Linked DNA regions of Tamandua tetradactyla. The protein of the gene in region 4 purifies or fractionates together with the protein of the main gene of each other region. This does not show direct contact. Links are inferred from orthologs where the notes say so. Each region holds a gene or a part of one and is shown on either strand. Other genes may lie near its edges.

Region 1 (8,322 bases), on a different chromosome or scaffold from region 4:
CAGAAGCTGGAAAAAACAAATGGCAGAACTTATCGGCATGGAAGACACAAAAGAAGAAATGAAAAACACAATGGAGCCCAACAACAGCAGATTGCAGATCTGAAGAGGTAGAAGAAAGGATTAGTGAACTAGAGGGCAAGACATCTGAAATCCTACAACAAAAACCAAACAGGGGAAAGAATGGTAAAATATAAGCAGGGTCTCAGGGAAATTAATGACAACATGAAGTGCACAAATGTGTTATTGATATCCTGGAAGGAGAAGAGAAGGGAAAAGGGGCAGAAAGAATAATGGAGGAAATATTCACTGAAAATCTCCCAACTCTTAGGAAAGACATAAAATTACAGATCCAAGAAATGCAGTACTCTAGTTTGCCAAAGCTGCCACAATGCAACATACCAGATATGCTGGTTTGAAAGGATGTACGTACCCTAGAAAAGCCAGGTTTTAATCAAAATCCCATTTCGTAGAGGCAGAATAATCCCTATTCAATACTGTATGTAATTAGATAATCTCTCTGAGATGTAACCTAATCAAGAGTGGTTGTTATACTGGATTAGGGGAGATGTGTCTCCACCCATTTGGGTGGGTCTTGATTGGTTTACTGGAGTCCTATAAAAGAGGAAACATTTTGGAGAATGAGAGATTTGGAGAGAGCAGAGAAAGCTGCAGCACCACAAAGCAGAGAGCCCATGAGCCAGCGACCTTTGGAGATGAAGAAGGAAAATGCCTCCCAGGGAGCTTCATGAAACCGGAAGCCAGGAGAGAAAACTAGCAGATGACACCGTGTTCACCATATACCCTTCCAGCTTCAAATTAAAGATAGAAAAACATAGTAGTTGTTCTTAGGAAATTCAGCCAATGACATGGTAGCATGTAGATCACTGGATATTAACTATTTGGTAGAGCAATTGGCTCTACCTACAACAGAGAGAAGCCTTGACTATGTTCACCATGTGCCTTCTCACTTGAGAGAAAAACCCTGAACTTCACTGGTCTTCTTGAACCAAGGTATCTTTACCTAGATGGATGCTTTGATTGGACATTTATATAGACTTGTTTTGACTGGGACATTTTCTTGGCCTTAGAACTGTAAAATAGCAACTTATTAAATTCCCTTTTTAAAAGCCACTCCATTTCTGGTATATTGCATTCTGGCAGCTAACAAACTAGAACACCAGAGACGACTGGCTTTTATATAAAAAGGGATTTATTTAGCGACTAAACAAAGTGTGGTATATACATATGATGGAATATTGCACAGCTATAAGATGGAATGAAGTCATGACAAATGCAACAACATGGATGAAGCCTGAGGACATAATGTTGACCCAAATTAGCCAGAAATAAAAGAACAAATGGTCTCTTTTGTACTGTATGGTCTCACTAATATGAACATTAATAAGCAAATTCTAAGACTTAAAGTTGAGAACAAATTTTATCAAGAGATAGAAAGAGGGTAGTTTGAGCATATGATGTTGGAGGAGTATAAAATGTTCAACAGGATTGATTATAAAAATCCAGAAATGGATAGTACAATACAATCTGATATTGGGACAATATTGTAAGTATAATGATCAAAGTAGAGTGTGATATGGTTGAAAGAGAAGGGTAGGGACCCTTGAAACATTATTTGTAATTATTATAGCATCTATACACAATTGCATAGTTATTTGTTATAAATCATGTCACAAAGATTTTAAATACAAAACTATTTATCTTTCTTACAAACATACATCCATAATAAAATTTTGAAAAATATATAGGGGAACTTGAGGTGCACCTGTTTAGGACATTTACAAAACCACAGATTTGAAATGGATGGTATAGCTCCAATTTATTTCTCTTGAGCCTTCTTTCCTAATCAGAAGACTGTGTTTTTATCTTCCCACAGAAGCTGACGACTTTTCCCAAATGACAACGGCTACTTAAACAGAAAGACTCAATACATCAAATTGAAACAAGGAGCAGTTTGCTCCCAGTGAAGGCTGATGGATTCAACACCATCATCATATCTTTGACAGAAACCATGTGGCTGCTAAAACTAATATATGAACTTAAAAGTGTTTACACTTTAAATTATATTATCTTACAAAAAGTTAACCATGTGATTATCTTAAAATGATACCAATTTTAATCACATAGATTCACATTTTAATTAAAAAAATGATAAAACAGCAATGTTTGATCATCCTTAAGGAACTCCCTATTGCATTTTAACTACCTGTAAAGGTAGAGAAGCAATTTGGGTACAAATATATCTCAAGGACTAATGAATGATGACTAGTTTAAGTGTATTCACAAACACTGGGCCTATCCCTCCAATAAACATCCCATCCCCAACCCCTGCTCTTTTTACCTTTCCATGTGTCAATGGCAGGCCTTCCTTTAAAGTCCTGTTGTAGTGGAAGCAGAAGTTCATACATTCAAACTGTTGTACCTTCCAGCATAACCAACCCATTGTTGAGTAGGGGAATTATGACATCAGCAATATGCTAGCCAATTGCTCTACCGAATAGTTAATATCCACTGATCTGCATGCTGCCATGTCATTGGCTGAATTTCCTAAGGACAACTGCTATGTTTTTCTACCTTTAATTTGAATTTACTCTAATACAGAATTAATTTTTTGTAATCTATGAAACAACTATAGAAATGATGTGACATCCATTTATTTGACTGCCATATCAGGATGCTAGATAGAAGCATACAGATGAATCATTACACCAACCTGAGTACTACCTGGAAATGTTCACAATACAGGAGCCTTAGTGTTCTTTCTCACTGCTTCCAATAAAGTCTGTTTGCTATTCATTATTTTTAAATGCAGCAATCCTTTAACCCTACCTGGGATAGTGGGGGTAAAAAGGTAGGGAAGGGATTTCAGGAGAAGTTCTCCTGCAGTTTCTATAGTACCATAAACACTAAGATATTTGAAGCATTTAGAAGTATAAAATGCAGGGACTTCCGGAGAAGATGGCGGCTTAGTAAGGCGCGCGGGTCTTAGTTCCTCCTCCAGAACAACTACTAAAGAAATAGAAACAGTACAGAACAGCTCCCGGAGCCACAACAGAGACCAGACACACAGCGTAACCCATTCCGGAACGGCTGGACCGGCTAAGAGACTCCGCTGCAGTGAGGTCCCCGAGAGGCGCGTGCTTCCCCGGGCCGAGGCAGCTGGCGGCCGGAGCCCCTCCCTCCCTCCTTCCCGGGCCGGCTGGGAGCTTTGGATCGGGTTCCCCAAGCCGCGGCGACCGCAGCCCCTTCACATACGCGGCTTCCCGGGCCGGCTGGGAGCATCGGAACAGTGGTTCCCCAAGCCACGGCGGCCGGCAACCCTCCCCGACGCGTGGCTTCCCGGGGCGGCTGGTAGCCTCGGAACAGCGGTCCCACAAGCCACGGTTTCCGGCGACCACAGCCCCTTCCACACACGTAGCTTCCCGGGCCGGCTGGGAGCATTGGAACAGCGGTTCCCCAAGCCGCGGCAGCTGGCGACCCTCCGCCACGCGCGGCTTCCTGGGCTGGCTGGTAGCCTTGGAACAGCGGTCCCCGAAGCCGCGGTGGCCAGCGACTGCAGCCCCTTCCACACACGTGGCTTCCCGGGCCAGCTGGTAGCCTCGGAATAGCGGTTCCCCAAGCCATGGCAGATGGCAACCCCCTCCACAGGCGACTTCCCAGAGGGAAAGGAAAGAGTCTCCAACAGTAGTAGAGACTAGCCCAACCTAACACCAATAGTGGCATTAAGGAACAACTTCTGACTACTAAAAATAGGCCCTTAGCTCAGGCGAAACTGATCAAGGTGGAAGTCGCCGATTGGGCTAACTGAAAAAGAGGAAAGGGGGCGAAACAGAGACTTCTGCGGCTGTTTCTATGGAGGCTTCATTGCCTCTGGGCTCAACGCTGGGATTACATAGGTTACAACTGCCGCAAACACAGAAACAGGCTGTTTTTAGGGCTCTCTGCCACCTGAACCTTCCCCGCGGGAGGGGTGAAACGCAACTCAGGTGGAATCCCTCTCTCAAGGAATTCAGATCCCAGGACTTCACAATTTGAAGGATTAAAACCAACCTACACCCTTTCCTCTGTCTCCACCACACACCCAGCAGCGAGAGTCTTCCAAAGTTAAAGGAGCCACAACATCTTTTGCTGGTGGGACCAGCAGACAGACAAGCACCACGTACTGGGCAGGATAAGAAAAACAGAGCCCAGAGACTTCACAGGAAAGTCTTTCAACCAGCTGGGTCCGACACTCAGGGAAATCTGATTAAATGCCCAGACGCCAGCAAAAAATAACAAATCACACCAGGAAAATTGAAGATATGGCCCAGTCAAAGGAACAAACCAATAGCTCAAATGAGATACAGGAGCTGAGACAACTAATTCTGAATATACGAACAGAAATGGAAAACCTCTTCAAAAACGAAATCGATAAATTGAAGGAGGACATGAAGAAGACATGTGCTGAACAAAAAGAAGAAATAGAAAAACTGAAAAAACAAATCACAGAGCTTATGGAAGTGAAGGATAAAGTAGAAAAGATGGAAAAAACAATGGATACCTACAATGATAGATTTAAAGAGACAGAAGATAGAATTAGTGATTTGGAGGATGGAACATCTGAATTCCAAAAAGAAACAGAAACTATAGGGAAAAGAATGGAAAAATTTGAACAGGGTATCAGGGAATTCAAGGACAATATGATCTGCACAAATATACGTGTTGTGGGTGTCCCAGAAGGAGAAGAGAAGGGAAAAGGAGGAGAAAAACTAATGGAAGAAATTATCACTGAAAATTTCCCAACTCTTATGAAAGAACTAAAATTACAGATCCAAAAAGTGCAGCGCACCCCAAAGAGAATAGACCCAAATAGGCGTTCTCCAAGACACTTACTAGTTAGAATGTCAGAGGTCAAAGAGAAAGAGAGGATCTTGAAAGCAGCAAGAGAAAAACAATCCATCACATACAAGGGAAACCCAATAAGACTATGTGTAGATTTCTCAGCAGAAACCATGGGAGCTAGAAGACAGTGGGATGATATATTTAAATTACTAAAAGAGAAAAACTGCCAACCAAGACTTCTATATCCAGCAAAATTGTCCTTCAAAAATGAGGGAGAAATTAAAACATTTTCAGACAAAAAGTCACTGAGAGAATTTGTGACCAAGAGACCAGCTCTGCAAGAAATACTAAAGGGAGCACTAAAGTCAGATACAAAAGAAAGAAGAGAGAGGTATGGAGAAGAGTGTAGAAAGAAGGAAAAATAGGTATGATAGATATAATACAAAAGGCAAAATGGTAGAGGAAAGTATTACCCAAACAGTAATAACACTAAATGTTAATGGACTGAATTCCCCAATCAAAAGACATAGACTGGCAGAATGGATTAAAAAACAGGATCCTTCTATATGCTGTCTACAGAAAACACATCTTAGACCCAAAGATAAACACAGGTTGAAAGTGAAAGGTTGGGAAAAGATATTTCATGCAAATAACAACCAGAAAAGAGCAGGAGTGGCTACACTAATATCCAACAAATTAGACTTCAAATGTAAAACAGTTAAAAGAGACAAAGAAGGATACTATCTACTAATAAAAGGAACAATTCAACAAGAAGACATAACAATCATAAATATTTATGCACCGAACCAGAATGCCCCAAAATACGTGAGGAATACACTGCAATCACTGAAAAGGGAAATAGACACATCTACCATAATAGTTGGAAACTTCAATTCACCACTCTCATCAATGGACAGAACATCTAGACAGAGGATCAATAAAGAAACTGAGAATTTGAATATTACAATAAATGAGCTAGACTTAACAGACATTTATAGGACATTACATCCCACAACAGCAGGATACACCTTTTTCTCAAGTGCTCATGGATCATTCTCAAAGATAGACCATATGCAAGTCTCAACAAATTTAAAAAGATTGAAATCCCACACAACACTTTCTCGGATCATAAAGGAATGAAGTTGGAAATCAATAATAGGCAGAGTGCCAGAAAATCCACAAATACGTGGAGGCTCAACAACACACTCTTAAACAACGAGTGGGTCAAGGAAGAAATTACAAGAGAAATTAGTAAATATCTCGAGGCGAATGAAAATGAAAACACAACATATCAAAACCAATGGGACGCAGCAAAGGCAGTGCTAAGAGGGAAATTTATTGCCCTAAATGCCTATATTAGAAAAGAAGAAAAGGCAAAAATGCAGGAATTAACAGTCCACTTGGAAGAACTGGAGAAAGAACAGCAAACTAATCCCAAAGCAAGCAAAAGGAAAGAAATAACAAAGATTAGAGCAGAAATAAAAGAAATTGAAAACATGAAAACAATAGAGAAAATCAATAACACCAGAAGTTGGTTCTATGAGAAAATCAATAAGATTGATGGGCCCTTAGCAAGATTGACAAAAAGAAGAAGAGAGAGGATGCAAATAAATAAGATCAGAAATGGAAGAGGAGACATAACTACTGACCTCACAGAAATAAAGGAGGTAATAACAGGATACTATGAACAACTTTACGCTAATAAATACAACAATTTAGAGGAAATGGACGGGTTCCTGGAAAGACATGAACAACCAACTTTGACTCAAGAAGAAATAGATGACCTCAACAAACCAATCACAAGTAAAGAAATTGAATTAGTCATTCAAAAGCTCCCTAAAAAGAAAAGTCCAGGACCAGACGGCTTCACATGTGAATTCTATCAAACATTCCAGAAAGAATTAGTACCAACTCTCCTCAAACTCTTCAAAAAAATCGAAGTGGAGGGAAAACTACCTAATTCATTTTACGAAGCCAACATCAATCTCATACCAAAACCAGGCAAAGATATTACAAAAAAAGAAAACGACAGCCCAATCTTTCTAATGAATATAGATGCAAAAATCCTCAATAAAATTCTAGCAAATCGTATCCAACAACACATTAAAAGAATTATACATCATGACCAAGTAGGATTCATCCCAGGCATGCAAGGATGGTTCAACATAAGAAAATCAATTAATGTAATACACCACATCAACAAATCAAAGCAGAAAAATCACATGATCATCTCAATTGATACAGAGAAGGCATTTGACAAGATTCAACATCCTTTCCTGTTGAAAACACTTCAAAAGATAGGAATACAAGGGAACTTCCTTAAAATGATAGAGGGAATATATGAAAAACCCACAGCTAATATCATCCTCAATGGGGAAAAATTGAAAACTTTCCCCCTAAGATCAGGAACAAGACAAGGATGTCCATTATCACCACTATTATTCAACATAGTGTTGGAGGTTCTAGCCAGAGCAATTAGACAAGAAAAGGAAATACAAGGCATCAAAATTGGAAAGGAAGAAGTAAAACTATCACTGTTTGCAGACGATATGATACTATACGTCGAAAACCCGCAAAAATCCACAACAAAACTACTAGAGCTAATAAATGTGTACAGCAAAGTAGCAGGTTACAAGATCAACATTCAAAAATCTGTAGCGTTTCTATACACTAGCAATGAACAAGCTGAGGGGGAAATCAAGAAACAAATTCCATTTACAATTGCAACTAAAAGAATAAAGTACTTAGGAATAAATTTAACTAAAGAGACAAAAGACCTATACAAAGAAAACTACAAAAAACTGCTAAAAGAAATCACAGAAGACCTAAATAGATGGAAGGGCATACCGTGTTCATGGATTGGAAGACTAAATATAGTTAAGATGTCAATCCTACCTAAATTGATCTACAGATTCAATGCAATACCAATCAAAATCCCAACAACTTATTTTTCAGAAATAGAAAAACCAATAAGCAATTTATCTGGAAGGGCGGGGTGCCCCGAATTGATAAAAGTATCTTGAGGAAAAAAAACGGAGCTGGAGGTCTCGCGCTGCCGGACTTTAAGGCATATTATGAAGCCACAGTGGTCAAAACAGCATGGTATTGGCATAAAGATAGATATATCGACCAATGGAATCGAATAGAGTGCTCAGATATAGACCCTCTCATCTATGGACATTTGATCTTTGATAAGGCAGCCAAGCCAACTCACCTGGGACAGAACAGTCTCTTCAATAAATGGTGCCTAGAGAACTGGATATCCATATGCAAAAGAATGAAAGAGGACCCGTATCTCACACTCTATACAAAAGTTAACTCAAAATGGATCAAAGATCTAAACATTAGGTCTAAGACCATAAAACAGTTAGAGGAAAATGTTGGGAGATATCTTATGAAACTTACAATTGGAGGTGGTTTTATGGACCTTAAACCTAAAGCAAGAGCACTGAAGAAAGAAATAAATAAATGGGATCTCCTCAA
Region 2 (8,125 bases), on a different chromosome or scaffold from region 4:
CCACCCTACTTTCAGTTTTGTTAAATCATGGAATATATTATCAAATTTTCCCTATGTAAAACACAAATTATTTTGTATTAAAGTGCTATGTGAAATCCTGAACTCAGGAATTTAAAGACTAAAATAATGACTAGTAATCAGTCTTAAGACAGCAGGTCACTTCAAGATAACTTGAGCAAAGACAACATTCCGTGAAATACTCAGGTTATTTCCCCAATGTGGGGTGTAAAAAACCCTCCATGGAGGGCTTGGAAGAGTCCTCATAAGATTTCACTCTATAAGGTTTAATTTCTTTCTTCTTCAAACACTGACTATTCCATAAAAGAGAAAAAAAATATTTATTTATTAAGATGGATGTCAAGGAAATTTTTATACCAATTAATAACCCCATGGGTGAGGAAGTAGCTAAAACCCAGTTCTGACAGAATTTTTGTTTAAAAACAAAAAACAAAAGACACCATCTTTAACTATTATATTACTGCTAAAAAGCCAAAAGCCCATGCTTTATAAGGAAAAAAACAAATGATTTCACATATAGGTTGAACTAACTTAAATTGGCTTAACCAGTGAATCTCATTTGAATTTCCTATGGGAAAGTTATCTTCCCACTATTATGTAACTCTGTTCAAGAGTCTAATGCAATAGTTACATATCTATCATGTTAGCAAAAAGTTAAAAACAAAAGTTGTTCACTATTTGTAGTTCCTCAATCGCTTTATCAAAACTATGAAAGCTAGCACAGACTTAAAAAACAAAACAAACAAACAAACAAAAAACAACTAAATTAAACCATCACCACAACCTCTCCTTTCCAACCAGAAATGTTGACCCTGTGCATGCTCCATAAAACATCTAAAATAAAGACTATTCTTCTGGACTAAGTTCTGGTCATTATGTGAACTGTAACATTTAAAAATGTAATCAAAATGCCAATTTTCAAAGAATGATATATTTTTACATAAAGCTAACCAAATATCAATTATTGTAGTCTTTTAATCCATCTTAATGTTTTATTCATTTTGAAACCATTTATTTGTCCTCTAAAAGACCGATACTATTTTCCCTGAAGGCTAATCAGCAAGTTCTTTTCCCCTCTGTGCCAACAGAGTCTCTAAAACAGTTTCTACTAGCAGCAGCAAAGCAACAATTCTACAGTGAATTTGATTTGCCATTTAGTTAACTACATACTGAAAATTTGATTCATGAATCTGTTTGTCAATCAGTTTACGGACATCAATGAAAAGAAAATTGACACTTTGGCACGTGTCTGCCAAGAAGCAAGTCATATTATCACTTTATCTCAAATGGGAACAGGCTTTGGTAGTTAATAAATTTTAACAAATGAAGAAAAGTGTCCAAGATAAAATTACCGCATTTAAATTTGAAATTACACACAAATAGTGAAAGAGAGATTTGAAAGAAACATTTAAAAACACACAATGGGACTAAATTATTACTTGAGGTAAAATCTTTTGATTCAGCACTCATGTCATTAGCAAATCACTACATTTCGAAAAGTCTTACTTAAAGCAAAAGAATCCTTAATATTAAGTGGTAATTTCAGTCTCATATAATTGTTTCCTAAAACATATTATATTCTCAACATATTATATGTGTGTGTGCATATATACATATATATATATATATATACAGCCAATTCTGGAAGGAGACTGGAGCATTATTTGAATGCAACATAAGGGAGCTATATGCAGAAATAAAAAGAAATGATGAAATTAAAAACCTTTTAAATTTACTGAAAAACTGTAAATGTACCAAAGAATCACCAAAGCATAGTTACCAATTACGTAGCACAGGAGTCCTAACTGGCTTCAAACATCACATTCTTTCAAGCAACATATAGCAAACTGCTTTCTCAAGGACTATCTGTAACAGTGACCAGTGAAAACCCTTTAAAGTATTTTCCAGATTAACATCGACCTCCTCCATTTGTTAAATATTTAATCAAGTACAATGAAATAGTTTTTAAGGAAAGAATGTATAATTTAAAAAAAGCATTTAATCTCAATCCCCTACTCTTAAGAGTGACAACACATGTAAAATTAACCTTAATCCATCAAGTAAAACACGCAAAATGTCTCCTAACAATTCTCCTTAAGACAACAACCATACACGTAAATATGGTACTGACCCCCATCCCCACCCCCCACCGCGAGCAGCAAATTAATAAAGAGAATAGTTAGGTTTGGAGACCAAGGGGCAACACCCCCATCTCATAAACCTCCTCAAACAACACGTTATCTAAGTAGAACTGAACAATATTTTTGCTAAAGCTGGAATCCAACACCGGGGAGCCTCAGCCCTTTAGACAATGGTGGTTACCAGACAGTGCTGCACAGTTGGGTCCAAATGACACATTTCACTAGGCCTTGCACACAACACACACGCACTGAATCCCAAGGGGTCAGTTCTAAGGAAGGGACGTTCAAACCCCACTAGGAGATGGAAGGCAGCACCGAGGCGTGGCGTGGTGGGTGGGGGGTGGAGGGGCGCTAAGGGAGGACAGAGTAGAGGGGTGCCGATAGAGCGGAAGGGTAATTGCACCGCACGAGAGGGAGGGGGCTGGAAATGGCCGATGGATTCTATATTTATTTATTCGAAGACCTTGATTTAACGGGTCTTTTCCAGGGGTTCTGCAACTAAAGCCGAACTGCGTAGCAAACACTGTAGGGTTGGGAGAGGAGTCGCTGTTCCCCCTACCCCGTGACTAGGGAGTAGGGGGGAGGCGGGGGAAACAAGTTCCCCGGCCAATACCACAGACCACTCCGATCCCCCCTCCTCTACAGGAAGGGGGAGGCTAATACCGAGAAAGGGGGAAAACAAGTTCCCCAGCCAACCCCACCGCCCGATCACTTCCAGTCGTTTCCCCCACCTCCCATTATAGAAAGGGGGAAGCTAAACGGTGGAAGGAGGCAGAAAAGGGGGAAATCCCACCCTTCGCTTTCCCCTCGGCCACCAACAGGCTCCTGCGGGGTCCGTGAGGGAGCCAAAATGCCAAAAGGCGGGTGGGGGTGGAGGGTGCCGAGCCCCCGAAACCAAACAAAGCGCGGCCTGAGCTTAGCCCGGACGAGTAGGGGAGCCGCGGCTTTTCCTGCCGGCCCGGGCCCGGCCAGAGCTGACACTGCGGCACCAGGGGACCCGCCTCCGCTCAGCCGCCGTCTCCCACCCCGAGGCGCACAGGCCGCCCCCGCCCGGTCTCCCTCCCCACAACTCAGGGCCGAACCGGCAGGCCGACCCGAGCCGGCGCGGACTTACCCCGCTCGCCGGCGTTGTTCCGCTCCTGAGGCAGCGGCGGAGGCGGCGGTGGCGGCGGCGGAGGTTGCTGCTGCTGCGGCGGCGGCGGAGGCTGCTGCTGCGGCGGCTGCTGCTGGGGCGGCTGCGGCGGCGGCTGCTGCGGGGGCTGCTGCTGCTGTTGCACCGGGCGCGGCCGCGACACTCGCCTGGGTCTCCGGTTGGCGGCTCGGACGGAGTTCATTTGCCGGGCTGAGGTGGCGGCGCTGGCGGAGGGACACACACACGCACACGCACGGCGAGCTCCGATGCAGGAGAAGGGGGTGGGGAAAGGGGGAGGAAAGGAGAGGGGGCGAGGGGAAGGGGAGATGGTAAAGGGCGCAGGGGGCGAGCGAGATCCCGAGTCAAGAGAAAGGCCCGGGAAGAAAGACAGAGCCCGAGTGAGGCCGGGCGGGAGGGTCTGACGCACGGGAAAGGCCGAGGCCGCCGGGCGGGGCGGCCGCGAGGGACGGAGACAGAAAGACGGCCAGAGCGAGAGAGAGAAAGAAAGGGCGTCCGCCCGCTTTGGGATCCTGAGGCGAAGCGCGGCGACCGTGGCTGAGGAGACAGATCCCGGTCCCGCCGACTCCCGAGCGGCGTCTCCGGCGGTGGGGGGAGTGGGCGGGCGGGTGAGGAAGGGAGAAGGAGAGGAGAGGGATAGGAGGGAGGGAGGGAGCAGGGGGCGCCCGGATTTTTTTTCTTCCTTCTTCCTCCCCCCCACAGCCCTTGAAAGAGATTTCTGTGAGGAATTTTTCCTCTCTTTCTTCGGCCTCTTCTTTCTCCTGCCCCCCTCCCCTCCTCGGCGAAAGGGAAATGAGTGTGAAGGGAGGAGATAGGGGGAAAAAGAGGCGTCGTCGGTCCTCCTCCTTAAAGGAACCTATCCTCCTCCTCCTCCTCAGCCCCGTCGCCGCTGCTTCTGCTGCTGCTCCGTGGCAGGAGGAGCCATTGACACCACCGGAGCCTCCACTCGCCCAGTCAGTCCCTCCCCGCCGCGGGGCTGGCCAGGGGCGCGGGGGAGGGCCGCGGGGCGGCGGGGGGAAGGGTGAATGGGTGGGGAGGGGGAGGGGCGGGGATTCTGGCCCAGAAGCCAATGGGAGGCGCCCATACAACCTTTGGGCCAATGGACCCTCTGCTCTTATCGCGAAGTCCCTTCCTTCAACGCCCTGTTTCCTCTCTCGGGTTTCCTCCCTCCCCCGCCGGGGAGGGGGAAGGAGGAAAGGGAGAGTGTGGCGGGGCGGTGATAATGGGGAGGTATCAGGGCATATAATAGAGCGGGGGGTGGGCGAAGAGAGCGCTAGTGCGTAGCCACGATTCTAGGGGAGGAGGAACTCGGAGGAAAGGGCGGGGGTTGCTGATGTAATGGGGAGAAGTGATTAATTCTTCGGTTGGTCGTTTCAGCCCCCCCTTTCACCCGATCATTTAAGCGGAAAAAAAAAAAAAAGTGGAGCGAGGGAGCCGGTCTTCGGTAACTCGGGTTTTATCAAGTAAGTAGGTTCAAAGTCTGAACTGTAGAGAGCGCTAGAGATTCTGTGCCCTTTTTCTAAGCCTAGGGTATTTGCAAACCTTGATCTTTACCGAGCTGTTAGTTTGGCAACCGAAGTTTGGAGTCGGTTTCTAATCGTAGTCTAAGAGAATTCATCTAAGTCTATGAGAGATCTTGGTAAATATGTAGTACATCTTTGATCGATTTGCTTTTTTGGAGGTGATCCATATAATGTTCGGAAAAATAATATGTGAGTAAATTGTGATTATATGATTTTTTTTCTTCTTTTTTTTTTTAGATCCCACAGACTCAAAGGAAAAGGTAACCCCAAGAGGAATGATCAGATCTGTTGTATCTGTATCTGGTCCCTTCAGCATAATATCTCCCCGAGGAAAACGCGTTTTTATTTTTCAGCTGTTATGATGACTGAAAATGTACTCTCTCAATTCTTCCCTCTCTTTTGTTTATCATTTTTTGGATATGGAAAAACTGGCAGGTTACCAGAATCTCTGGTTTTCAGAACTTACGATGATTTCTTTCTTACTGAGTTTGATCCATTGCTGTCTAGGTTTGAGGTAGACAAACTCTAGGCAGCTTCATCTCTGGGATCAGTTGTTTGTTTTCCAAAATAAGATCCTATTTTGGATTATACAGTCTTTTCCAATTAAAAATAATTCTGTGAATTTGAGATGTTCTGTCTTTGGTGCAGAGAGTGGAGAAACTTAGGTCTTAGTTTCATCCTCAAAAAAATATTTGAGCAAGGGGGCTGTTAGAAAATAAAGAATTCGAATTTTTTCTGGTTGTTACCTAGGTGCAAATGGGTAAAATTTTAGATTTATTTCAATTAAACATAGGGCAAAAAGTAAAATTACAGGAAAACAACAGTACCATGATGATTATAAGTAGGTCCATAATTTTAATCTTTCTAAAAATTTACTTTTTATTCAACAAGCCCTTATTGGTTCCTCCCATTTATGAATTACTATATAAGGTGTTTGGGGGAATATTTTTTAAAAAGTCAGAATCTTGGGCATAGTGTATTTGGTGTGGCATGGTAGCAAATTTACTGACAGTTCAGATGTACAAAGAAAATGTAACTTGTTTATTTTCTATAACTTTACCCTTCTTCAGCTCCCACATTATCTCAACTTTTTTTTTTTTTTTACATAAATGCTCAGCTCTTTCAGATTTTATTTCCCCACCTCCCTCTCATCCTAAGATGTGTAGACGGAGAGAGGGTCTTTCACATCTTTAGTATCCTAGATTTCTAAGTTTACTATGACAACTTTCAGGGATATGGACATAGAACTCCTTGTTCTAACAAAATCCGTTTTTTATTACAATTTTCTGATAGATGGAAGTAAAATATCTTGAGAAAGGGAGCTAATTTTTCTAATTCGCACAGTGGCTAGTGGGCTGGTGAATGGGGAGAATCCATGGCATCAGAGAAGGGTGGTCCAGCCACCCATGCTGGTCCTTGTGTTGTTCTCTGAAATGGAATGACTGGTAAGGGCTGATAGGACTGCTGCAGATGTAAAACAGGTCATTTCTGTCCTTTCCAGATGCCATGTTGGTTCTTTTTTGTTGAGGTCCATAACCTGAGCCATTTGCCCCACACTTTTCTTCATCTTTGTTCTGATCCCAAGTCTCGGCAAGTCTACTGATCCTCTTGATGCCATTCTTATCTCCTCACTGATGTACCTGGGAACTTCTAGATTCCCCAAATACACATGTAGATCTAGTAAGCCATCTCCCCCCACAAATGTTGCACTGTTTTCCCTACATTATATTGAACATGCTTTCAGGCTGAAAGCTGAACTTGTAAAGGTCTCTGTCTTTCATAGGTATATTCAGGGAAGAAAACCACTATCCCTAATTCTCTTGAATTTCCCTGGGACTGTTTGAATATTTAGCCACACATCCCCATTTCTATATTCTATCTTGAGAAGGGGAAGGAAAAAAAAGCACATTGGGTCTGATATTTCCTTGTCTCCTTTTCTTCTTTCCAGTGTCTCCCTGGGTTACAAGAAATAGATTTTGGGTGGGCCACGGTGGCTCAGCAGGTAAGAGTGCTTGCCTGCTATGCCCGAGGACCCGGGTTTGATTCCCAGTGCCTGCCCATGTTGAAAAAAAAAAAAAAGAAAGAAATAGATTTTTCCCCTTTTTATATGTCAGGAACTTTCCTTATGTGCTATATTCTCTTTGTTCTTGAGGGGGCATTTATTCTGTTCTCTTTCTTGGAACTGTGCTGGCTGATGGGGTGTAAGAGAGAAACTAGTTTAACAATAATGGAAAATCTATTGGGAGGTATTTAAAAATATTATCCCTGTATTGCTAGTTTCCACATATTTTTAGTTTATCTCATGGGAATTAATGTTAGTCTTCTTTGTGCAAAAGTATTCAAAGCCGTCTTAACTTAGAATTGTGGAATTTGGGAGTTAGGACAGGTCTTGGAGATCATACTCTCTTCTGTATTTGACAGACTGGGAAACTAAAGTCCAAAGAGGTGAGGTAACAAAACCAAATCCCACAACAAAGTTACTGCCTGCCAGCCCAGTGTCCTTTCCATTCATAGTTATTACAGACTCTTAATTCTTCCAGCTAAAATTCAAAATCTTCCAGGGGACTTTATCCATCTCCATGTCTACCTGTGTTAACAAATAATCCTAGCAATTAGCTGTCATAGAATTTTTATGGGCTAGAAAGGAGAAAAATGTAAAGGGGTTTTTTATTTGGGGTAGGAGATTCCCAGAATTATTTCAGTATACAATTAGCATAATTTCAGAGGTCTAAATTCCCTTAGGGTTTACTCTCTGTTCAAAAAGCATTTGTTTGTTTTTCTCATCTAATTACTGGTGCTTAACAGGTTAGTGTACTTAAAATTATTTGTTTATGAAACCTATCACAATAGGAGATTGGAAAAATAAGCTCATTAATCATTTTAATACCTGGCAGGTGATATTTACTGTGATTTTTTTAAACTGTAATTTTTGTCATTTCAAAGATGCAGCTTCCCCTTCCTCTGTCATTCCCTCATCTAGGCCCAAGTCATCAGCACTGTCCGTTACATAAGACACCTCAAAGCTGCTCACTCCTTTTATATCATTTAGGAAATGAGTTTGATCTGAATATGGTTTTCCTGAAGGAATAACCAGCTCTGTTTAAAATATCCCCATTAGAGTATGAATGACTTATCTTACTAAGCTGCAAAAATTCACTCTTTAGTACATGTTCAGATAATATTTTATCAGGTAGTTAAAATTAACTTGGAACTAAGGATTTAAATTTCATGTATATGTAGAAAAACCTGGTAAGCACACAGTCCAGTGATACTCATAATAGAGGTTATTTTTA
Region 3 (7,734 bases), on a different chromosome or scaffold from region 4:
CCCCACAAATTACTGGAATTTTCCCCGTATTATTTCATTATACTATCTGAAATTCCACTATTCATGGACTTAATTGTCTTAACAATCCTTTTACAAAAATGTCAACAGTGTAGAAACACCAGTTTCCCCTACATGTCTGTTTTTAAAAAATTATATTGTTCCTAATATTAAGACATCATGTGGATTTACAGAATCAATGTCCTGATAGTGGAGATGGAGAGATGGATAATTCTGAAGTATGAAGCATTTGGGGAACAAACATATACCTAAGTGAATCAAAAATATTAAGAATTCAAGGAGCATTAGGGCAGCGAAAAGAAAGAAAAATGGAAATTCAAGCACCGGAGCTAAATGACAGGATTATAAATCTTACTTTTAAGATTGCAAACTATCATTGGAGTCTGTATGGATTTCTTCAGCACAAGTAAATCTTTTTAGTAAACAGTAAACATTAACTATGCATGTTAATCAACAAGCATTTAATCTATTTAATGAACTGTTTAAGACGAATAAATTGCACTATTACAAGAGTCAACTGATTCCTGAGATCAACTGCAACAATTCAACTTTAACTGGGAAACCATTTTTAATGAAATGCAGCCAAAGCAATGCTAATAGGGAAATATGTAGCTTAAACACTGATATTAAAAAAGAAAAAACCTGAAAATTACTGAACTTAGCATTCATCACCAAGTTAAACAAAACAAAAAATAAACACATCTCGCCTGCCATGCTGGAGATCTCACCTGCCATGCCAGAGACCAGGGTTCAACTCCCAGAGCCTGTCCATGACAAAAATAAAAAATAAGTAAGATAAAAATAAATACATACTAGAAAGAAAAAACAAGGCCAAAAGCTAGTTCTTTGAAAACACTAATAAAATTAATAAATATGGCAGATCAAGAACAAAAGAGGGAAGACAAAAAAAAAAAAGGATAAAAAAAAAGCATGACTACCAATAACTGAAACATTAAAACAATAACAGGATAGTAACAAAAAGCTTTATGCAAATGAATTTTAAAATTTAGATAAAATGGATAAGGTTTTTTGTTTGCTTGTTTTTTGTATGCTGTATGGTAGGGTCACATTTCATTACTTTTCCATGTGAGTTTCCTGTTATTGCAGCATCATTTGTTTAATTTTTTTGAGTGTTTGTCTTTGTTTTTGTTGTTTTGTTTTGTTTATTTGTTTTTGGGGAAGTGCATGAAAATGGAGAAACTTTTAAATATGATCCTACCAAAAACTGACTCAGTAATTTAAAAATTATTCAAGCAACTATTTGCACATGAGATAGAAACCAGAAATGAAATCCCAACCTTAATGCTTGATATGGACTTGTGTGAGGTAAACCAGCATTACCTGAGTTTATAAAACATTGATGACCAAACCTGTTCTGAGAAAGCTGCGATTTTTTCTACATTTCACTGTTTAAGTAAGAAATCAATAGCTAACCAATAAAAGTTGTTCTTTGGTATCACCAAAATAAAGAATACTATCATCCAATAACAGCTATTAGTGGATTTATGAAGGAAATAAACAAGAAAATCACAGAAACACAAAAGAACAGTATGTATAACCAAAAATATTAGCAAAATAAGAAACTCCCTATCAACAAGAATTCCTTCCAAACTTTTAAAAACTCCCTTGAGAATCTGATGAAAACTATAAATGCTCTCCACATAAAACTGTACATAAACACTAACTTGGAGCAGAATTCCAAAGGGCTCAAGGATCCCCTAATGCCTCTATATGAAATAGGTAGGAATTTCAGATAAATAGAACTTCAGGGTACACAGAATCAGCAAAGGTAAGTAACCAAATAAAAGTTCAATATCATATGAGAGATCAAAATAATACGTAATTACTGGGTTAAAGTACTACTAACAACAATGAACTAAGGCACTTGGAAGTAGACATTTTAAAACTGAGAGGCTTAAATTATAAGAACCAAATCAAAGGGGGAAAAAACATCTCTAAAGAAACATATTCAGATGACCCCTCCCTGGTTAAACTTTTGCTTTCCCTAAGTGCGGAGCACTCTAAACCTCTCCTACGGCCCTTATATTCCCGACGCGTAGCACAGACATTTGGGTCTGTGCCTTACCGTTCCCAGGAACCTGGCAATTCCAGAGCAAGAGAGCCTCTCACTGCAAGGGTGCTTAGGTGATAATTGGCGTGCCCATTGTGGAATGGGAACAGTAAAGGAACGGAGATCTTGGGAATTCACTGCTTTTTGATATGATGACTGTCCTCCCTTGAAATAATAGACTTGTTCTAAAAAGAAAACGAATAATTTACGATTGCTGTTACGGGGGGGGGAGAGGGGGCGCGGGAGAAGAATCAGAGAACTAAGATACGTTGGTGGCAGTAAATGCAGAGAAACTAGAAGCGATGGTAGGTAAAGAGAAATGACATGTAAATTCAGTTTGCGTAGACAAAACGAAAAAAAAATGAACCTCCAACGTGGGCGTTATTTTAATAGTCAAGGGACCATTCTTTATCTGCTATCCTTTGACCTTTCCGAGGTCAGCCGGTTAGTTTGCTTAAGACATCAAAAGTTATTTTACTTGTGAAAATTTTCATCCGTTTCCTCGAGATGTAAGAGGACCTCCTCGGCGCACTCCAGGGAGGGAGCACCTGTGATTTTCTCCTTCACGCTCTGGAACAGCTGCCGGAGCATCGCCCGCAGCGCCGCCTCGTCCTCGCGCGAGAAGTGGGCCATCACCTGTCGCAATCAAACGCCCCCCGCCTCAGTCGGGTTCCCAGCGAGGCCGCGACCCGCGCACGCGCATGCCCAACCCAGCCGGCGCGCAGCGCCGTTCCCCGGGAGACCGCGGCGGGCGCTTAGGGGTCGAACCCGGCAGCCCGCACGTTGTTCTGGAACACAAGCCACTTACTTCAAGGCAACAGGGTCGGCGAGGCCCCGCCTTTGGTACTCGTCGTTGCCAGCCTCCGCTACCACAGAGCTCAGGCCGCCCCGAACTAACGGCAAAGGAAATCCAGGAAGGCTCTGAGGATGGGCGGGCGCGACGGCGGCTGGCCGGCGCTACGCGTGACGTCATCGCGTTCACGTGGTTCCGAGTACCTGATGGTTCCCCTCGCCCACAGTAAGGGCTCACCTGTGCTCTCTGTCCCTAACCTCGGGGTGGCGGGTGGGTTGGAGAAGAGTAGAAAGAAAAAGGGGGCTATTAAAGAAAGATAATGAAAGTGAAACTGAAAGCACCCTGAAAAACTTGCAATGAATAATGAATGGTAATAAAATGTTGCAATGTTGTTTCCCTTTATGTCAAAGAATCCTTTAACAAGACACTTTACTAGGAGATGTGAAGAAAAGGAGGCCCTCATGATCTAACAGACGCAAAAAGAGATGAGGATTACAATGCAGTGTAATTGAGTGACATGCTAAAAAGATGTGCGAGGTAGGTGCTGTGGAAATCCAGGCTTACCTTTTTATCCGATAGAGGAGGAGAGGAAAGAAGCACACAGAGCAAACGGGATTTGCAAAGGAGAGGGGCCTGGAGAGTGGCATGCTAAGGGCTTTGAGTTAGTAGGGTTAGAAAGAGGAGGTGAGAAAGCTAGAGAAGTAAACTGTGTTTGGCACTTTAAAGTATCTGAGATTTATCCTACAAGCAGTAGGACGCATTTGCACTCCAAAGAGAAACCAAGATGTATAATGTATAAATATCACTTCGCACAAAGTTGCAAGGGATAATCATGGCCTCTTCAGTTTCCAGATTTATATTCTCAGATCTAAATCCTACTGATTGATAGGTAGACAGGTTCCTACTGAGGACCTTTCAACATCACCACAAATATAGATGGTAAATATGCCTGGGCTCTCCCCCAAGGAGACCAGTAGACCCTCAATATGATCTTCCTAGACTCTCAGCACTTTTGTCCTCATGAGCTCCTTAATCCACAAAAAGTACATAGATACATTAAAAATTGTGTTTAATAACTACATTGGTAGAAAAACAAATATATTCCATGTTGGATTCATTACCATATATAGGTGACATTCATATTTTTCTTCTGATTAAAAAAATTTTAGCATTATCATAAGCCAATGAAACTATGATGGGCTGCAATACTGTGCTTAATGGCTAAGTCAGCACAGGTGACTGGTAGCCACTCACTAGTGTAACTAGCAGGAACATGCCGTGACAAACCACCTGGGAACGAATTCCAGTGCTTTCCTCTTCTTTTGTTGGTTTTTGAAAATCCTTCATAAGGTCACCAACACTCTAGGCTGCTTTCCACCTGTACTGCTCCTGGGAACGTCGTGATCTTTCAGCCATTGCCACAGATTGATGTAAGTCAGGAGCCCTAATTACCACTCTAGTCTTGCTACTCATTACTATACTTATGGCCACATTGCCTCTGACTGCTGATGTTATGTGGGCTCTGCCTGTCAGTAATCCCTTCATCCTCATTGGTACTAGAGAGCCCAATTCCATGGCAGTGTCTCCCAGGGTCAAAAAAACCTACTGAGGACAGCCACAGCCAAGCTTCTCAAAGATGCCAGTGACCTTCAAAGATACCAGTGACCCTTTTACTACTGAATTCCTAAATGTCTGTGATAGATACACTCTAAGTGACCCCTAATGAGCCAGGCCCTTGTACAATCACTATCTTAGTTTCCCAGGGCTGCTATGACAAATACACTAGTTGGCTTGAACTTCAGAAATTTGTCTCACAGTTATGAAATTTAGAAGTCCAAAATCTGGGTATCAATAGGTCATGCTTTCTTCAAGGTCTATAGTGTTCTGGTGGTAGTTTTCTGGCAATAGAACTTTGCCTTCTCACTTGGAGTCAATCTCTTACAGTCTTCTCTGTGACTTCTACTTCCATTCCAAATTTGCTTTGCTTATAAGGACTGATAGTAATATTGGAACTAAGGCCCAGCCTATTTCAGTGATGCCTCCTCTTAATAGGATCTTAAATGAGTTCATACCACAGGCCCAGGGTTTAGGGTTTAAGCATGCCCTTTTAGGGGACATGATTTAATCTACCACAATTACCTCTGTATGAATGAGGGTGGAACCTTTAACTAGCTCCTAACCAATTGAATACAACAAATGGGATGAGATATTACTCCCTTAATTAGGTTAGATTTTATGATGAGGATTATGTTTTGTTATAAGATTCCATTTTAGAAGACGAGAGAGAGAGTCTCCTGCTGGCCCTTAGAGCAGTCTATAGCCAAAGTCGTAAATAACAGGAGTCCTTAGTCATACAGGCATGACAAAAATGAATTCTGCCAACAGCCTGTGCTGGAATGAGTTTGGAAGTAGATTCTTCCTCATTTGTGCCACCAGATGAGAACACAGCCTGGCCAGCAACTTGATTGTTGCTTTGTAAGACTCTGAGCCAGTCACTTGGCTAAGCCATTTCCAGACTCCTGACTCACAGAAACAATGAGATAATAAATGTGTGTTATTTTAAGCCACTAATTTGGTGACAATTTGTTGCATCAGTAGATCAATCAGTAGAGAATAATGCATTGTCCTGGTGCAAGGAATGCACCTCTAGGTCCTCCCAGGTAAATAAGAAATGCATTCTCTTGTTTCACATAATATAGTCATTCTAGTATTCCACCACCTTGAGCTTTCTGACCTCTTCCTTGATATGATGCCACAAAATTCCAACATCTACACCTCACTATAGGTCAAGGCCATGTTCAAGCTACAAGTAGCCGTCTCAGCAGAGTATTAAGATCAGATCCTGGGGTATATCAGAACCTTCAATCCCAATTACTGGTAAATGATTCCATGATAATGAATTCTCCACTATCCAGCCTTCTATTTTATTCACATGGCCTTGCAACATCTGAGACTGTTCACATGATTTCTTTGATGTCTGTGCTGTTTCCTCCAGGAGCGAAAGTATAATGTATCTTCACCACATATAACATCAGGTTTCTTCATAGGGTGATAAAAAGTTTTAATATTGGATAGTGGTGATTTACACCAAATTGTAAAGCAACTAATGCTGTTTAATTGTACATTTAAAATAGTTGGAATTTATGACAAACTATCAACCACAATAAAAATATATCGTATATACCCAGAAGAGCTGAAAGCAATGACACAAACAGCATTTGCACACCAAAGTTCATAGCAGCATTATTCACAATTGACAAAACATAGAAACAAACCAAATACCCATCAACAGACGAATGGATCAACAAAATGTGGTATATACATACGATCATATGCATACATACGATGCAGCAGTAAGAGAAAATGACATCCTCATGAAGTACATGACAGGATGGTTAAGCCTTGAGGACATAATGCTGAGTGAAATTAGCCAAACACAAAAGGACAGAAACTGTATGATTTTACTTTTATGACCAGCATAAAGATATAATCAGAGGCTTATAATAGAAAATATAGGGAACTTAGAGATACATAGCAGCTAGAGCTGGGTGAACTGTTAGGTAATGAGATTGAACTCCAATGTAAGGGAATAGATGGGAGCAAAGATGATTCTGTAGTGGGTCAAGAAGTAATAGTACCATGTTGAAGATAAACAATATTGAAAGGGGTTGTACAGACCTACGTGTCCCACTGACTCACACTAGAAATATGAATTAGTTTACGCAAGAATTACTTCAAAGATATGATTCTTGTGTAAAGAGTGTTTAAGTCCAGGGTACAGGGGGAAAACTGCTGTTGCGTGCTATGGGCTATGTTCAAAAGGAAACCATCAGCACTACCACAGCAACAGCAGAGGTAAATAATGGGGGGAAGGACAAGAGTTAGGAGGAGGTTTAGATTTCTGTTTGGTGAGGTGGTGTTTATTGGTTTTCTTTCTCTTGGGAACAATGAAATTATCTAAAATTGAGAATGTTGATGGACTGTGGACTTTGGGCCCTCTACATGATGCCCAATGAATGCAGGTGTCTGAAGGATGCACTGATGAAGAAGTAGTTTGGTGAACAATTGTATATACTTATGAACAGAGACTGCACTGCTACAAAAAGGAACAAAGTTGTGAGGCATGCAATGATGTGAATGAACATATGGAACATTTGGTGAGACAAAATAAGCCAGAAACAAAAAAACAACAATGGTATGTTCACCTTTAGAAAACGCTTATAAGAAAACAGGGGCCTAGATTGTAAGCTTTTAGAGCAGATACATGAAATCCGGAGTGGTGATTATTATTTCGGGATTTTGAGAGGCTGTTTTATATATATAACCTGATATTTAGAGATAAGAATGAAGCCGAACAGGTTGGGGTTAAAGTAATTCATAACATAGGGGTAAGGAAGACAGTGTCTATATTTAGGAACCACACATACTCTTTGAGACCAATGGAAAAAAAGGTTTATTTGATCTGGGACTGAAATTTTCTGTAGTGCATGATCTAATTCAACCTATCTTCATAGCTCATTTGAACAACTGAAACACAGGGAGCACAGAATGAGAAAGAGGTCGCTTAATCCTATATAGATTATTGTAATGCCTGAAAACATCCTAGAATATATTAACCAGATAATCAGAAAAGTATTGGCAAAGTCCCCTGAGGGAGGAGAGAAAGACTATGTAACTATTAAACCTTACCATCAGGGAATCCCCTGACACTGTGTCAAACTTTAGAGATACCCAAATCAATAGGCCATGCCCTCAATCATGAGACTTACTCTTGTGAAGCTTATGTAGGTAGCATAGAAGCTTAGATTTCCTATAGGCATGCCTAAGAATTACTTCTGGAGGACCTCTGTTG
Region 4 (7,700 bases):
CACACACACTCACACACTCCCTGCAGTGGTGGTGGGGGAAGAGGGATGTGCTGGTTTGACTGGGCGGCTCTGGGACACCAGCCACAGGGTCCTGGGGGCCGGTGCTGTCGGGGGCTTTTGTTCCCTGTTGCTGGGATATCTGCCTGCTCAGTCATCCGAGCCCGGAGCCGCAGGGTGCCTCTCATGCCACCCCCACGCCTGCCCTCCCCCCCCACTCCGGCCTCTGGCCAAAGCCCTCGGCTCCCCCAGGGCCTGGACTGCCAGCTCCCTGGGCCTGGGCCTGGCTGGTTCTCTCTGTGAAGTGAGCAGGCGACTGTGTGTGTGATAGAGAGAGAGAGGTTGAAGGGGGCGGGGGGTGCTCTGGTGACTCTCCCTGTTTGTTAGCCACTGCTGGCCTGGGCCATGGCTCCCCACGGTCCCAGCCTCCCACCCTGGGCTCTGAGGCCCCCGCTGACCATTACCCGGCCAGGGGCACAGTGCTTGTTCCTGGGGCCAGGTGGGGGCCGGGTCTCAGCTTTTTCTCTGAGGCTACAAAGGGCCACAGTCCCAGGGTCAGGGCCTGGTGGTCAGGCCCAGGTGGATGGGGAATGGCTTGAGACTGTGATCCTGCAGCCAGCCCCTTTGGGTGCTCCAGGGAAGAGACCCTGCCAGACTGGGGGCTCCCAAGGGTCTGAGCCTCGCAGGACCATGTCTGCGGGTCCGGAAGCCCTCATCCTGCTTTGTTCATTTTCAGTGCTTAGTCTTGTCCAGATGGGGGTGTGGGGCCGGGCCAGCAAGGTGGGTGGCTGGCGAGGGCCCCCCTGCCAGGCCGGGATGTTTACTTGGTGGCCTAGGCCCCTTGGCTGCTCTGTGCCAGGTCCCGGAGACTTGGAACGAGAAGCCAGTGAGGGAGGCAGAGCCCCTGTGGAAAGCACCTGGTTCAGGTAATTGTCCCCCCGGGGAGGCTGGCTGAGAAGTGGGGGAGGAGTGCAGGCAGGAAACCGGTGAGGGGGTGGGGCAGGGGACTGGCACAGCAGCTTCAGTTGGGCCCCATCTCCTCTAGGAGGACACAGCTGGTCTTCACACCCCACAGCACTCCCCTCCCCCAGCCAATTGCAAAAGACGGATAAGCCTGGCGGGGGGCCGCTCGCGTTTCCGCTTCTGAGTCCGGCCCTGATGGACTGCCCCTGAGAAGGGCCGTGTCTAGGAATTCTGGGACTCCGGACAAGAATGTGTCCGCAGTTCATCGCCCTCCACCAGGAGACTCTAACCCTTGCATAGTCTAGTCCTGGCCAGCGAACTGGGCCTGCTGGATGAAGGACAAGCTCCTTCCCCTCGAACCTCAACGTCTGCACTCCTAGAACATTCTCCCTCCTCCCTCTCTGGGAGCCAAAGATGGGCAGTTCCAAGAACTGGGTTCCTCGAAGGCCCTTGCTCGACGGCCTCCTCCCTTCTCGGGCCCTGGCTGCGCCGCGCCTACTTGGCCTGCGGAGCTGGGATTGGGGAAGGGGCGGCCGCCGCCCGCGCCCCCGTACCTGCCAGGTGGGATCGGCGTGGCGGAAGTAGCAGAAGTTGTCGGTGATCCACTTGTAGATGGCCGAGAGCGTGATCTTGGTGGCCTTGCTGGCTTGCATGGCCATGCAGATGAGCGTGGCGTACGAGTAAGGCGGCTTCACGTGCGGGTTGGTGGCGTAGTCCACGTCGTCGGGGGGCGGGCCCTGCAGCCCCGGGGGCGCGCTCCGCGACGTGCACGACGACGTGGGTTTGCCGGGTGTGTGCGACTGCCCCAGGCAGGCGGGGTCGGCCGCCAGCGGGGACCCGGGCGCGGCCGAGCCTGGCACCTGGTGGTAGCCGTGGGGGTCGGTGCCCCCCGGGGGCAGGGCCGGGGCCTTGGCGTTGAGAATAGAGAATTCCTGCAGCCACTGCAGGCTGGTCAGGCTGTCATCCAGGGCGTCAGGCTCCTCCAGGCCGCCCTCCGGCCCGGCCTCCTCCGCCGCCCCCGCTCCGGAGAGACGCAGCCAGCTCTCCGCCATGTCTGCCGAGACTCTCCGAGGGGTCGTGTACCATCCAAGGGCTGAGCCGAGGGTGACTCGCCGCGCGCTCTCTGGCCGGCCGACTCCCGCGGCTCCGGTTACACAGCCGCCCGGATGCGCGCTTCCATCCCGCGACCCGGGGGTCGCCTCCTCCGAATAAGTATGTGGTCGCCTGCAGAGACCACAGCGGGAACTGAGCACTCTTACCCCACCCCCGAGGGGACAGGGTGTGGGTAAAGGAGGCCTCGGCTAAAATCGTCCCCGAAGTTGGGGAGGATCTTTCAGTGCCAAGGCGTGAGAGACAGAGGCAGTACCCTCGGGTCCGACCCTCACAGGGTCTACTTCTCTCTTCCTTTCCTCCTCGAGGTTCTAGGGAGAAGAGGGCAGGGGCATCCGAGTGTACTCCCTTTTTCCCGAAGAGCGGGAACCAGGATCCCTCCCCCCGCCCCTTAACAAATAGCAATGGGGCAAGGGAGTCCGGGAGGGCAGTACGATGGGACGGAGGGCAGCGGAGGCCATCTGATCCTTGAAAAGGGATATTAAGATAGGAGAACACGAGGAAGGAAGGGGACATAACAGAGTTATGGAATGGAAGCGGGAAGTAAGTTACTCTAAACTGCTCAGATGTCAACCCCTGGGCCCACCACTTCCGTCGGGGACGGATGGGAAAGAGGGTTTAGTACTGACGTCCTCCCTTCCATGGCCCGCAGCCCTCCCTGTCCTTACCTGGCTCAGAGCGCAGCCCAGGCCAAAGGAAGGTTCTGGAAAAGTTCCTCCCAGCCCCCGCGGCTCTCTGCCCCCAGATCGAGGGCGCCGCCAGCTCCCCTCTTCGCCCCCCCTATCCCGCCCGACGGCGTCTCTCTGAGTGCCGGCGGCGGGGAGACTGGCATTAAGTAGCCGCTGGAAAAGGCTTCTTCTGCTGCCATGACAACACTCCGCCCCCATAAACAGCTTCTGCGGCTGCCATTGGTCAGTCCGTCTCCAAGGAGACCGCGAGCTCTGGCCGCGCTCTCCAGCCGTAACTCTCCGCGAACTCCCTCCTTCGGCCGCTGACTCCCGCGCCATCCAGCCCCCTACCCGCCAACGCGTCCCCGCTCTCGCTTTCCCGCGCGAGGGCCCCGCGCTGGGCTCCGAGGAGCACGCGACTCCGCGCTCCCGCCCAAGGACCCGAGAACCACCTTCGATCTGTGCATCCCAAGGAACCGCGACTCCCGCCCCGCCCCTTCCTTTTTTGGCCCCTCCGAAGCATCGACGGTTCTGGGGACCGATCCTCGGGCTCCAGTTTGTGAACCGTATCCTTGGGGTTTCCCGCTTTTGCTCTGGGCTGCGAATGGCAGCTCATTTCTGCCGCCCTTTCCTCTCCCGATCCCGAGTATCGTCTCTGGTGCCCGGCGAGCAGGTCTTACTCTCCGATGCCACCTGCCGCTGGTACCCGCAGAAACGCCACACCGACTGCAGACACACCAAGGCGGGTAGGGCAGTCCAGTGTCTCCCGGTAAGCCGTCCTTCCCCTCCGGGGCCGGGCTCTCTTCCGGCTCCTAGCCTTAGAGAGGTCCAGCAAGCTGACATTCCAGAGGCTTCTGAGGTGGCGATCTCTCCTATTCCCAGATAACAGGAAGCAAAGCCCATGGGCAAAACTTAGAAGAGCCAGGAACCTGCCAAATTCTCCTAGCAGAACCATTTGCCTTCTATAATCCCACTAAGCTTTACCTGATAGGGACTAAGACTAGAAGCGCCCTGGCAGCTGTGGCCCTCCCGCTCCCCAGGCTCCCTCCTGTCACCACTTTCCTGCTTTTTAATTATGGAGGAGCAGCACTGTTGGAAGGTCTCGGATTAAACGGGCAGCAGCAGCAGGGCTGGATGGGGTGGGGTGTTGAGACGCTGCCCAGAAGCCAGGCAGAAACCCAGGGATGACCTCTTAACTCCCACCCAGGACATGTCCTTTCCTACCCCTGGCCCTTCCCATTCTTCCACCTCAAAAATGTTGAAATGTGCTGGAGAAAGATGGACAATAACTTTCATAAATAAGCCAGCTTCTTAGGTACAGCTCTCCTTCCCTTGTAAACAGTTTTATTCATTTTTAAGAATCATGCAGCAATCCATAAATATTGCATCCTTGGTGTCCCCACTGTAGTGTGCTGTGTGTGTACTCCAGGGAGGAAGGGGGGTACACAAACAGCACCAACAGGACACACACACTTGCACACACCAGGTATACAGGTCCTAAAGCAAAATGAGCAACCAGCATGCCAAATTCAGGGGGACAGGCTCTCAGGGCTCCCCATGGTGTCACAGCTTACAGTGTGGGGTCTGTGCTCAGAATATGCTCCCAGCACGGGCATAAAGTCTGGTGGGATGAACAGTGAAGGAGTGGGGGGTGGGGGGAGACGGAGAATGGTTCTGGGAGGAAGCCAGGCCTACTGCAGCTCTCCAAGGCCAAGACAAGAGCTTAGATCTGAGTGTGGCAGGAAGGAGGTGCTGGCCCCAGCATCTGTGCCCTCGATGAGGAGCCAGGCCACCCCATTCTCTCTCCGTAAAATGCTTACAAAATAAGACTGCTTCCTTCGAATGACAGACTGGGGCAATGGGGCTAGCAGCTGACCTGTGCCCTGATCAGGTGGACAAGACCAGACTTTCTGGATGGGATGTTTCCACTTATCCAAAGAGGTAAAAAAGAAAAAAGAGAAAACAGGGCCTATCTGAGAAAAAAGGAATAATGGGCCATTTCTAACCCAGACACTTCCATCTAGTTACCAAGGGCTAAGGAGGGAGCCAAGGCCAGGAACCCCCTGGGATTCCTTCAGGAGGCTTTCTGAGCCTTGTCCAGGGAAACACTGAGGAGCACATCCTGCAAGGAAGGTCACAGATCTTCAAGGAAAGGGTGAAGGTAATTACCTCCTCTTAGGTTCCTGGCCTCAGTGGCTACTGTTTACCTGAATCTCCTTCATTTCAGCCTCTTCCCCAGGGATCCTCCCCGGTAACACCACGCTGTGAAAACCACCTGTGGGGACAGGAGGTGGGTCTGTGTGCAAGTGCCTCCAGCTCAAACTTCAAGGAAACCAGGAAATGGGGTTATTGCTCAACATATACTGGTTTAAGTCTTAAATAGGAAAGTGACTATGAAACTTAAGGGGGAAGAATCCACTGAGGTATGTCAGAGAGGGTGGACGTGGGAACTCAAGACAGAAGCTTAGGTTCAGATGTGGCTGTGAGGGTCTCAACCAGCATAGTGGGCCACCCTTCCTCAGGGCACAACGTAGCCCACCACTACCTTCCTCCTGCACTGTGTGGCCACATGGGCGCAAAGGACCCCTGCGCACTGGACATGGAAAGGTCTGCTAGGGCAACAAAACCAAACACTTTAAGAAGGTCCCTCGCAGCGGGTGTAGCCAAGGGCTCTACCTCATCTCAACCTCACAAATAATTGTCTAATTTTGCTTCTCAAACTATCTCACACTCCACTGAACAATCACCTTTTCCATCAGCCTGCAGACAAAGCACCTATCCAAGAGCCAGGTGGAATCTTTTGATAATACTGGTGTTGAGAAAAGAAGTGCCACCTGAAGGCTTAGCCTGGCCTTGCTGTTTCAAGTTGTTGTTTGTATGCAGTTACACTAGGGTGGGAGGACATGATTTAAACAACATTCTCCAAATCTCTGAAATGATGAGCCTGTGGATGGCTCTGCTTAAGCCAGGGGGACTGTACCTCTCCCACTTTCTGCTCTGAGGGTCTGGGAGGCAGGGAAGGAAAACACAAAGGAGAGGAGGATCCTGGAGGCAAAGGCCCTGGTTCCAGCCAGAGGGATCCTTGCTGGGCCGGCTGGTACCCGGATTTAGCTCAGCACTCTCCATGAGTTCTTTGGGGCTCCTGGGCACCAACTGGAGACTACTGGGCCCTACCTCTTAAGTTTACTTCTACAATTATTGACCAAAAAAGGAAGGAGACAGGGGCAAAGGGGATAAGAATCTCACCTTACAGGACTATGGTGAGATGTAATGTGCTAATATACAAAAGCTTCTAACCCAGTGCCTGGCACAGAAAAGTGGTCAAAAAATCTTTCTTGAAGTGTAACCATCAGAAGGAGTTCCAGGCTTTCACGAATGCACCTGTTAAGAAATCCTTTTTAAAGGTTATTATCTTAACTGGGGGATTCTCAGATTCAAGGTCTCCTTCCTAAGCAGACAGGTATACGGGCAAAAGGAGACTAGCTCTACTACCAGAAGGAAGAAACCTTTAGGTTGCCACCCCTGAAGCCTGGATGTTCAAAGGGGGTTCCTAACCCTTTCTGAGGGAATTTCACTATAGTGCACTGCTTCTTTCTCACTGGAGTTGTCCTCTACCCCTTCCCCCAGAGTTTTCAAATTGGTTAGATGGTTCACAGGCCAGAAAATGCCAGATGGGTGTTTGCAATGAAGCCACCAAAACTGAGTCTGTTTGGCCTACCCCTAGCAGAAAAAAGATCCATAAGAAACAACCAGCACGTGGATCTTGGCTCCACTTGAAGATCAACGTTGGGGGAGACATCCACAGTCTCGGTTAAGAGCCGCAGTTAGAGTGGCTTCAGCCCACAAGGAGAAAAGAGCACTTTTGGTCTCTTCCGAGGGGAAGGAACATGGTTACAGAAGACGTGGCTGGGAGAAGGAGCAGGGTGACCCACATCCAGCTCTCACATGAGTATAAAGCCTCCACGTGTCCTGATGAAGATGGCCAGAGGCTGGTGGTCCAGCGAGGACAGGATGGAATGTGAGGACAGGAGGAGAGCCCTGGCACAGGGGCTGGGGGTCCTCAGACAGCCAAAGGACCCCACACACAGCCTTGGTTCTCAGGGTCCTCCAGGCTGCTGGATGACAGGCGCCGGCGCTGGGTGCTCCTACGATTGACTGCATTGTCATCAGCCTGCCAGGTACCTGGGGACGAGAAACTGAAGTTATAGGAGCAGGATGTTTGGCCAGGTTGGAGGGTGTCTCCAGCAAGGCAGCTCAGAAGTTCAGCACAGAAGCTAGCAGGAGGTGTGTTATCTGAAGCTCTTATGAAGGTGCAAGCCACAGTGTATGAGAGAAAGAATCGGGGGAAGTGGGTGTCGAAAGGTGCAGGGAGCTGTTCCTGCCTCATCAGGCTAGGTAGAGCTACTGCCACTTGGTCCACTGACAGAGAAGGACACTTAGAATGTCCTTTCTTTTGTGAATGTACCCTAGTATCTCCTCTTCTATCTTAATTATTTGCTTTTGGAGCTTGTCTATATGTTGTGGTGGACCAGGAAAAAGAAGCTGGGTCTAGGTGAAATTTTCATCACGGGCAGGAAACAGAAGGAGTGACAGGCCTTACGCTGACGTGGGCCCCAAGTGTCTGTGTTTGCAAGGGGAGCGGGGGTGGGGCAGGAAGTGACTGACTACCCGACAGGGTGCCAGGGACAGAACAGCAGACATCCTGCGGGAGGACAGTGGATGCGGTTTGCCATCAGATGGTGCCATCAACCCTAGGAGACAATAACCCAACAATTTTGGGGTCCCACAGCTACCACACCCACCAAACTCATCATCATCTCCCAAATCCATGGCTACTCCTGCGTGAGGAGCACCCAGCTGCCCACTCTAGAAATCTAGGTTTTCTCCTTGGTGCTTGTATCTCCTTCACGTTCTAGACGCACCCCAACACTGCCTCATCACTCTTCTTCACTTCCTAATTAC

The links.
Region 1: the proteins of FOXJ1 (region 4) and RFX3 purify together in Homo sapiens (affinity purification with mass spectrometry; 3 studies listed by BioGRID and IntAct, counting the BioPlex papers as one, with this or other methods). This does not show direct contact. The link is inferred for Tamandua tetradactyla from reciprocal best matches to the Homo sapiens genes FOXJ1 and RFX3.
Region 2: the proteins of FOXJ1 (region 4) and FBXO11 purify together in Homo sapiens (affinity purification with mass spectrometry; 3 studies listed by BioGRID and IntAct, counting the BioPlex papers as one, with this or other methods). This does not show direct contact. The link is inferred for Tamandua tetradactyla from reciprocal best matches to the Homo sapiens genes FOXJ1 and FBXO11.
Region 3: the proteins of FOXJ1 (region 4) and TBC1D32 purify together in Homo sapiens (affinity purification with mass spectrometry; 3 studies listed by BioGRID and IntAct, counting the BioPlex papers as one, with this or other methods). This does not show direct contact. The link is inferred for Tamandua tetradactyla from reciprocal best matches to the Homo sapiens genes FOXJ1 and TBC1D32.

The regions. Positions count from the first base shown.
Region 1 is NC_135328.1:94,620,967-94,629,288, reverse strand, and holds the start of RFX3 (transcription factor RFX3), read right to left. Parts: upstream 3,171-8,322; 5' UTR 2,427-3,170; coding exon 2,360-2,426; intron 1-2,359. UniProt on the Homo sapiens protein: Transcription factor required for ciliogenesis and islet cell differentiation during endocrine pancreas development. Essential for the differentiation of nodal monocilia and left-right asymmetry specification during embryogenesis.
Region 2 is NC_135343.1:19,990,446-19,998,570, forward strand, and holds the start of FBXO11 (F-box only protein 11), read right to left. Parts: upstream 3,308-8,125; 5' UTR 3,274-3,307; intron 3,213-3,273; coding exon of another isoform or gene 3,010-3,212; intron 1-3,009. Other genes in the region: uncharacterized protein LOC143661103, read left to right, coding at 3,010-3,212, 3,308-3,572, 4,188-4,262, 4,687-4,772, 5,070-5,092, 6,781-6,834. UniProt on the Homo sapiens protein: Substrate recognition component of a SCF (SKP1-CUL1-F-box protein) E3 ubiquitin-protein ligase complex which mediates the ubiquitination and subsequent proteasomal degradation of target proteins, such as DTL/CDT2, BCL6, SNAI1 and PRDM1/BLIMP1.
Region 3 is NC_135331.1:182,394,284-182,402,017, forward strand, and holds the start of TBC1D32 (protein broad-minded), read right to left. Parts: upstream 3,041-7,734; 5' UTR 2,898-3,040; intron 2,726-2,897; 5' UTR 2,723-2,725; coding exon 2,568-2,722; intron 783-2,567; coding exon of another isoform or gene 747-782; intron 1-746.
Region 4 is NC_135332.1:16,567,410-16,575,109, forward strand, and holds the start of FOXJ1 (forkhead box protein J1), read right to left. Parts: upstream 3,172-7,700; 5' UTR 2,739-3,171; intron 2,185-2,738; 5' UTR 2,013-2,184; coding exon 1,515-2,012; intron 1-1,514. Other genes in the region: E3 ubiquitin ligase RNF157, read right to left, coding at 6,799-6,920. UniProt on the Homo sapiens protein: Transcription factor specifically required for the formation of motile cilia. Acts by activating transcription of genes that mediate assembly of motile cilia, such as CFAP157.